Linked DNA regions of Ovis aries. The protein of the gene in region 2 purifies or fractionates together with the protein of the main gene of each other region. This does not show direct contact. Links are inferred from orthologs where the notes say so. Each region holds a gene or a part of one and is shown on either strand. Other genes may lie near its edges. The genes, in order: DNM2 and SNX33.

What was found.
Region 1: the proteins of SNX33 (region 2) and DNM2 purify together in Homo sapiens (co-immunoprecipitation; 3 studies listed by BioGRID and IntAct, with this or other methods). This does not show direct contact. The link is inferred for Ovis aries from reciprocal best matches to the Homo sapiens genes SNX33 and DNM2.

The regions. Positions count from the first base shown.
Region 1 is NC_056058.1:13,095,203-13,099,007, reverse strand, and holds part of DNM2 (dynamin-2), read right to left. Parts: intron 899-3,805; coding exon 738-898; intron 1-737. UniProt on the Homo sapiens protein: Catalyzes the hydrolysis of GTP and utilizes this energy to mediate vesicle scission at plasma membrane during endocytosis and filament remodeling at many actin structures during organization of the actin cytoskeleton.
Region 2 is NC_056071.1:30,895,340-30,899,732, forward strand, and holds the start of SNX33 (sorting nexin-33), read right to left. Parts: upstream 2,950-4,393; 5' UTR 1,777-2,949; coding exon 315-1,776; intron 1-314. UniProt on the Homo sapiens protein: Plays a role in the reorganization of the cytoskeleton, endocytosis and cellular vesicle trafficking via its interactions with membranes, WASL, DNM1 and DNM2. Acts both during interphase and at the end of mitotic cell divisions.

The DNA.
Region 1 (3,805 bases), on a different chromosome or scaffold from region 2:
TAGGGACAGAGCTCCAGGAGATACTGTTGAGTTTAAAAAAAGAAAAATGGGGGGCATCCATGACTATGGATAAAGGGGGAAATGTGCTTCTCAGAAGTCCTTTCTGCATTCATGGACAGAGAAACTCAGGCAGTGTTTACAGCGGTGGGTGAGAGGCAGGAGGCACATGGCGCTTCACTGTATCCTTTTGAATCCACCTGCCAATGCAGGAGACAGAGGTTCAATGCCCAGTCTGGGAAGATACCACATGTCGCAGAACCACCGAGCCTGTGAGCCACAACTACGGGCTCAGTGCCCTAGAGCCCGTGGTCCGCAACAAGAGCGCCCACTGCAATGAGAAGCCCGTGCACTGCAACCAGACAGCAGACCTCTGCTCAGCACCGCAAGACAAAGTCCACACAGCGACAGGGACCCAGTGCGGCCGCAAATCAGTCAATAAGCTACTAAGAAAAAAAACGAATATATGTATGTGTAACTGAGTTGCTTTGCTGTACAGAAGAAATCAACACATTGTAAATCAACTATACTTCAATAAAAAACTTAAAAAATAATGGTAACAATAGTAGTGATGGAAGTAATAATACCAGCACTGACTCTTCTCCAGGCACTGATGCAAACGTTCACTGAGCTCAACTTTGCTAGAATGAGTGCTGCTCTAGCCTAGCGGCAGCACCGCTGTGGAATGCAGCTGTTTTGCAGTGCACAGCCTGAGCAACTGCACCAAGTCCTCACCGTACCTGATTCAGAGTCTTCTGCAGGTGCGGGGTGCCCATGCGGTCAGCTATGTGCCGGTAGGCTGGGTGGGAAAGGAAAAACTTCCTCTCAGCCGCCAGTGCTGTGCGGATGTCCTTCTTGCCCTCAATATCCTTCTGGCTGCGGTTGACCACTCCAATGTAGCCTGTGGAGAGAGAGGGTCAGGTCACGGCAGTGCCAGGCAAGCCTAGGAACCCAGACGCCCACTACAGGCCAGCCATGGGGCTGGGCAACATGCAGGTGTAGACATGGATCCTGCCCTCCAAGGCACTCCCAGAGGAGGTGACAAGCCTCATGAGTTACTCAGAGGCAACACTGAGAATCCAAACACAGGGCAACGTAAGTGTTCGGAGGAAGGAGAGATTACATTCAGCCTGGTGAGAGGGACTGGAGAAAGAACAGCTCGGGAGGAGATGAAATCCACAATCTGAGCTTTAAAGACAGAAAACAGTATGTGAAAAAGAAGGCCAATGGGAAAAACTAATCGTGCCAGATATTAATACCTGTTCTAAAGCTATTACATCTGGGGACCTTCCTGACAGTCCAGCAGTTAAGACCCTGAGCTTCCGATGTAGAGGGCACAGGTTCGACTCCTGGTCAGGGAACTAAGATCCACAAGGAGATCAAACAGTCCATCCTAAAGGAAATCAACTCTGAATATCCATTTGAAGGACTAATGCTGAAGCTGAAGCTCAAGCTCCAATACTCTGGCCACCTGATGTGAGGAGCCGACTCACTGGAAAAGACCCTGATGCTGGGAAAGACTGAGGGCAGGAGAACGGGGTGACAGAGGATGAGATGGCTGGATGGCATCACCGACTCGATGGACGTGATCTGAGCAAGCTCTGGGAAACAGTGGAGAACAGGGGAGCCTGGTATGCTACAGTCCATGGGGTCACAGAGAGCCGGACACAACTTAGTGACTGAACAACAATGGTTGGCAAAGAAACGACGTCTGGTGGCCACCAAAATGAACTCGCTGGGGATTCACAGATTTCCACATAACACTGCAAGTACTTGAATGGGTGTTTTTTCAAAATTACTGTATTTGTCTTAAAACTGTCTGAAGAGAACATAAGCAACAGTTAATTGTAAGAGAAGCGGGGCTTATACAGGAGGGGTTGGGAGCCAGCTTCCGAAACGACAGTTTAAGGTACCATTCGGCAATTTTTTTTAACACAAAAAACCATTAGCATAAGAAAACTACTTTGAAAAAAGGATCTACAATATCTGGACATAAAGGAGTTGGAAGAGGACGACGGAAGGGGGATTCAAGCAGCCAGGAACCCCAAGTGTGGACCCAAGCTACCCCACTGCACAGGTGCACGAATGGGTGTTGTGGGAAGCAGGAAACTGAGCCTGGTGGCCAACACCTGGGAGGCGCTCAGTCAGCAGATGTGTGTATTGTTGTCCATATAATGAAAATTGGAAAGGTGAACTGGGCCTAGGTGGTGAAAGGTCAGAAGTGATACACACATATCTGTACCCCCTTCTCTTAGTGAGGACTGATGTTTCTTTGGAGAGGAGGGGCACAGCTATCCTCCAAGCTATCCTCAGCCAACTATCCTGCCAAGTCTTGTGCAGACCTGACGGTTTCTCGTCCTCTTTGGAGCTATCATCAAGTCCACCTTACAGATGAGGGAAGCGAGGCAGGCCAAGGAGGGGTCCCTTGCCCACATGGTCACATGGAGGACCAGTAGCGGCAAGGTGCAAACCCAGATTACTGTGAAGGGCAAAGAGCAAGGGGCAGAGATGGTGTCTGGCTTGTTCTGTGGTTCCTTTTGTTAACCTAAAAAAGAAGGATCCAGGGACTTCCCTGGTGGTCTAGTGGTTAAAAATCCACCTTGCAAAGCAGGGGACACAGGTTCGATCCCCGGTCGGGGAGGATTCTACATGCCTCGGGGCCACTAGGCCATGACTACCGAAGCCTGCGCGCCTACAGCCTGTGCTCTGTAACAAGAGAAGCTACTGAGAAGCAATGACAAGGCCGAGCACCCCAGCTGGAGAGTAGGCCCGCTTGCCTCAACTAGAGAAAAGCCTGTGCAGCAAGGAAGACCCAGAATAGCCCAAAATAAGTAAAACAGAATAAATAAATAAAATTTTAAAAAAAAATCTGAAACTCCACTAAACACGAGACTGATCAGCCTCTGTCTAGATCTAATTACTGGTTTGCAAGAACTATAATTGGCCAGATCCCGATGAGGTGCACAGATCAAGTGGCTGGAGGGGGAGTCGTTGGAACAGAAATGTAGGTGTTTATGTGTCAAATGACAGGGTGCCTGGATTTGCTTCATAATCCCCCAGGAAGGGAAGAACAACAGGAGAGGATATTTGGGATAGTGACGATTAGCTGTGTGTGATGAGCAACAAGGCTGGTCTAGGGGAACGCCTCACATTTTTCTCTCCACGTGAGAAAATGCTTGACAACAAGTACTGAACATTAAAAGGTACAGGGACTTCCCCACCGTCCAGTGGTTAAGATTCTGCCTTCCAACACAGGGGGTGTAGGTTTGATCCCTGGTCAGGGAGCTAAAATTCCACATGCCTCCCGACCAAAATTCCAGAACAGAAAAAAAAAGAAGAGGAAGAAGAAATATTGTAACAAATTCAGTAAAGCCTTAAAAAATGGTCCCTGTCCAGAAAAAAAAGTCTAAAAAAAGAAAAATTACAAATCCTTGGGAACTCTTAGGAAGGAGAGCCAGAGTAGTAACTATGGGGAGAAGCTGAGTGATGGGTGATTTCAGTTTTCTTCTCCTGGACACTTCTTTTTGTTCCCCAAATGAGCAGTTGTTCACCATACAAATGAAAAAAGAATGCACACACATCAGAAGAAAAAGCTAGGGCTTCCGTGGCGGTGCAGCGGTCAAGAATCCGCCTGCCAATGCAGGTGACTCGGGCTCGACCCCCTGGTCCAGGAAGACCCCAAAGGCCATGGAGCAGCTAAGCCCACGTCATACAACTACTGAAGCCTGTGCACCCCAGCGCCTGTGCACTGCAATGAAGAGTACCCCCACTTGTCGCTACAATTAGAGAAAGCCCACATGCAGCAGTG
Region 2 (4,393 bases):
AATGGGTAGACGAGTAAATGAGACAAAAACAGAGAAAATAAATGAATGAATGAATGAGTGACTGAATGAATGAACAGACAAGAAGGTAAACAGTGAATTCCATGAGGACAGGGACCAGACCTGCCCATAAATATCCCTGTACCTAGAATAGTGCCTGTCGTCTGCTAGGTGCTCAACACCCTTGCTGAATGAGCAGATGAGACAGCGACTGAAAGACTAGCTGCGCCGCTCTGCTCCATCTGGGCATCCTCATAGCCCCTGTGCTCTGCAGAGCGCAGACGCCATCAGGGTCTCCAGACCACACTGGCTCTTACCTTTCTGCAGGTGGATGATGTCAGGGAAGTTGGAGAGCAAGCCTTGGTAGAGAGACAGTGTGTCGAGCATCCGGAAGAGGTCATTCTTGGGCTGCTCGGCGAACATTTCACCAACCATTTCATAGGTTCGGCCCGTGTGAGAGATGGCGCTGTTGAGGGCCTCAGAGCTGAAGGGGGGGTCCATCTGGAAGGCATGGCTGATGGCCTGGAAGGCATTGCCCAGCTTCTGGAATTCCTTGCGGAAGCCCCCCACATGCTTGCGCACCAGCTCCGAGGCCACCGTGCTGAGCTGCAGGACACTGTCGTCCATCTTCTTGCTGAAGGCTTTGAAGGTGTCTACGCGGTCCTCCACATCCTGCAGGTCCTGGTGCTCTGTGGGGATCTGGAAGGTGAGCAGGAAGCTGGCACCCACCATCTCGTCCTTCTCGGCCCGGCGCTTGCCCATCTTCCACTGCTTGTCATCCAGGCAGCTGAGGAAATGCTGGAAACCCTCGTACTGGGACAGCACAGGGTGGCTGGTCATGTGGTCCATCCAGAGGATGAGCCGCCGCTTCCGCTTCTCGATAAAGTCCTCCTCAAAGCGACCTGTGGCCTGCTTCTCCGGGAGATGGGGCACCGAGATGACAGTGAATTTGTGCAGCAGGCGGTTGTAGAGCCAGTCGAAGTGTTTGTAGCGCCGGTAGACAGGTGAGCTGGCGTGGGTGGGTGTGAGCTTGTAGGAGATGTAGCTTTTGATGCCCTTGAATTTGGTCTGTTTGGTGGGGTCCTCCACGGAGCACGAAAATGGATGGGGGTTGGCCTTCCACTGGGGGCCGTGAGGGCCCATCTCAATGGAGTATGTCTCAGCGATCTTGGCCATCATGGGCACGTCACCCAGGATGAAGGCCTCCACGCCAGAGCGCACGAAGCACGAGAAGCGGTTGAGGTTGCGCCCCACCACGCTGCCTCGCTTGGCAGATGCCAGGCTGTCCTGCCGCTCCAGGGGTGGCTTGGGCCGGAAGGCCATGTGTTGGCTGGGGTAGGCACCAGGGTAGGAGAGGTTGAGCGGAGGATGCCCGTTGGTGCCCAGCCCACCGGCCCGTGGCTCCTCCACCACCGTACATCCATCATCCCAGTCATCCCAGTCATCGTCATCGTCCTCCTCGAAACTACCCTGGTTTGACAGAAAGCCACTGCCGCCACCACTCCTGGAAGTGTTGGAGCTGTCATACAAGCTAACCTGGGTGCCCAGAGAGCCTGCGGGGCTGCTGGAGTAGTCGGCATGGTTGGAGCCGGTGTCAGAACGGAGGATCTCCACGTAAGAGGCAGGGAAGAGCCCGGTCTCCCCACGGCTGTTCTGGCCCTGCAGCCAGCCATCCAGCGAGGTCTCACTGAAGATGACCAAGTCCTCGTCCTGCCAGATGCTGATCTCCTCCTTGTTCTCGCTGCGGAAGTCATAGAGGGCTCGCCCTTTGAGTGCCATGTCTGGGCCAGTGGTAGAGAATGCTGAGGAGAGTCCTGCCCAGAACTGAGGACACTTGTTATGGTGTCCGAGGATGCACGAGCAACTCAAGGCTGGCCACAGCCCTCGGTCTCTCAGCCCTTACTGCGGGGTCTGAGCACCCACAGAAGGTATCCAGCCTTCTCTCTTCAAAGCAATGTCCATGGCCCAGAATCGGCCCTACCAGGTCTGCCCGCACATGCCTGTGAGTCGAGAGGGCTCATGTCCCTGGTCTTCCTCCCTTCCTTCCGCAGCCCCTGCAGGAGAGAGTCTCTCCTCCTCCCACTCCTAGAAGAAAAGTCAAGTGACTGGGAGAAAACCAGCCCTGAGCAGGCAAGAATTCGACACTCTCCGCTGGAACAATGTTCTAAAATAGAAAAGAATCACTTGGAAACCACCGTCCCAGAAACTCCGGTAGCTCTGGCTCCCAGCTGCTTCTGGCTCCTCCAGCCTGGGCCTCGGGAGGCTCTCACATTCCTCTGCAGATCTCCTTCCTCCTTCCTCCTCCTCTTCCTGGGCCACTGGGTTTTCAAAAATCCAGAAAATCCAAGAGGGGCAAGGAGAAAAGCGGCAGCCTCCTGAATCGAATCCAGGGGTGGATGTGTCCGGCTTCACAACAAGCCAGGCCGGGAAAACAAGGACTGAGGCTTACACAACAGGCCGGCCAACTCTGCGACCCGGCGGCCCGGCCCGGCCCCCAGCCCTCAGCCGGCTCGGATGCCCTCTCCCCGCCCCCAAGCGGCCAGCCCCAACCCGGGGGAAAGGAGGGGACGCGACGAGGCGCTCGGGCGACTCCTGGCCACTAGCTGAGTGGCCTCTTTTGTTTGCCTAATTCCTCAGCAGTTTCTGAGCCTGAAGATGACCCTGATCTGAGTCCAAGGACCCTCGTCCAAAGGTAATCCCCTTGGTAACCGGCCCCGGAGCGCTGGACGTAGACCCCCTCCTCCCCCTCTCGCGTGCACGCACACACTCAACAGGAGTTTGGAGAGTGAGCTTGGAGAGCTGATGGTGCGGCCGGCCGTCTGTCCGGCCGTCTGTCCGGCCGTCCTGCCCTGCGGGATCCCGCCGGTGGGCGGCGGCCTGAGCCCCGAGCCCGCGTTCTTCTCTAGCGTTCGCGGCTCCTCGGCGCCGCCAGCGAGAAGCCAGATCCAAAACAACAGAAAAAAAAGGCGATTCCGGGAGGTGGCGTCCCGAGGAAGGAGGGAATAGCCGGCGGGGGGACGGGGAGGAGGGGTTGAGGGGTGGGGAGAGGGAGGGAGAAGGAAAAGCAGGCTGGGGAATTGGGCAAACTCCGCGGCACTTCCTTGCGTCCTGGCTGGCCGGGGACGGCCCGGCTCCGCCCTCCCGCTGGCCTGGGACGCAGCAGCCTGGCTCCCGCCTACTCCTCTCTTTTCTCTTGTGGCGGGCGCCTTTACTCACTCGCGGGGAGATCGGGATGCGAGAGCAAGACGATCGGTCGCGGAAGAGGCAGCCTCCGGGGCCAGACCCTAGGGCAGCCGCGCCCCCGCAGCCTGTCCGCGCTCTCAGGGAGACTCCTCACGCCCCGAGGGGCTCAAGCGCCGCGCGGGGGAGCTCTCCAGCCGCCGCCTCGCCTCCCGGGCTCCGTCACCCTCTTGCCTTTTCCGTGACGCAAGTGAGGAAAACTCTGAAAGTTTGCCACGTGCGGGGCTACAAGGAGAACGCCAGAGCCGGGACCCGGGAGGTGGAGGAAGGGTGCGCGGAAACCCGCAGACCCCCGCTCTCGCTTCTCCGCCCCGCCACCGCTCCGGCCGGACGCCGCCGTGGCGCCGCCTGGGGATTGTTTTCTGGAGGGGGCCCCAGAGCCAGCGGTGCCCTCATGGAAAAAGCTTGAGCTGGCTGGGATACAGGCCGCGGCGGGTCCTAGTACCCTAGACGGACAGGGCCAGGAGAACCCCTGTCCTGGGCGACTCCCTCCGGGGAGAAAGACAAGACTACATCTGCAGTGACGGGTAACAAGAGTAGGCACGACCAGGTTCCGCCGTGCTTTGAGCGGCGGCTGGCGGAGACCGGTGTCTCATCTTTGCTAACACCACGGGGACGAGAGGAATGGTCGGGCTGGGGCTCTGGGAAGAGGTAAAGGGTTCTTGACCCTGGTCATTGATTCTGCCAGACATTGTGCTGGGCACTGGGGATCAGGGTACCAGAAGGTAGTGGGGGTGCCTGCCTTGGAGAGTTTACAATCTACCCTCTTGTCTTATAAGAATAGCTGGCACATTGAAAGAGACCCTGATGCTGGGAAAGACTGAGGGCAGGAGGAGAATGAGACGGTTTGATGACATCACCGACTCAATGAACATGAGTCTGAGCAAACTCCAGGAGATAGTGAAGGACAGGGAAGCCTGGCATTCTGCAGTTCATGGTGTACCAAAGAGCTGGACACGCCTGAGCGACCTAACAACTCTTGTCCTCTGTTCATTCATTGTCTTTGTCTCATTCATTTGATCATGTACTCAAGGAAACATTAACTGAGTATTCTGTACCAGGCCTCCTGGGCTACAAAGAGGAATAAGGCATTGTCCTCACCTACCGGAATTCAGATGGATCAGGAAAATAAATCGATGTGCCATGAAATGTGACT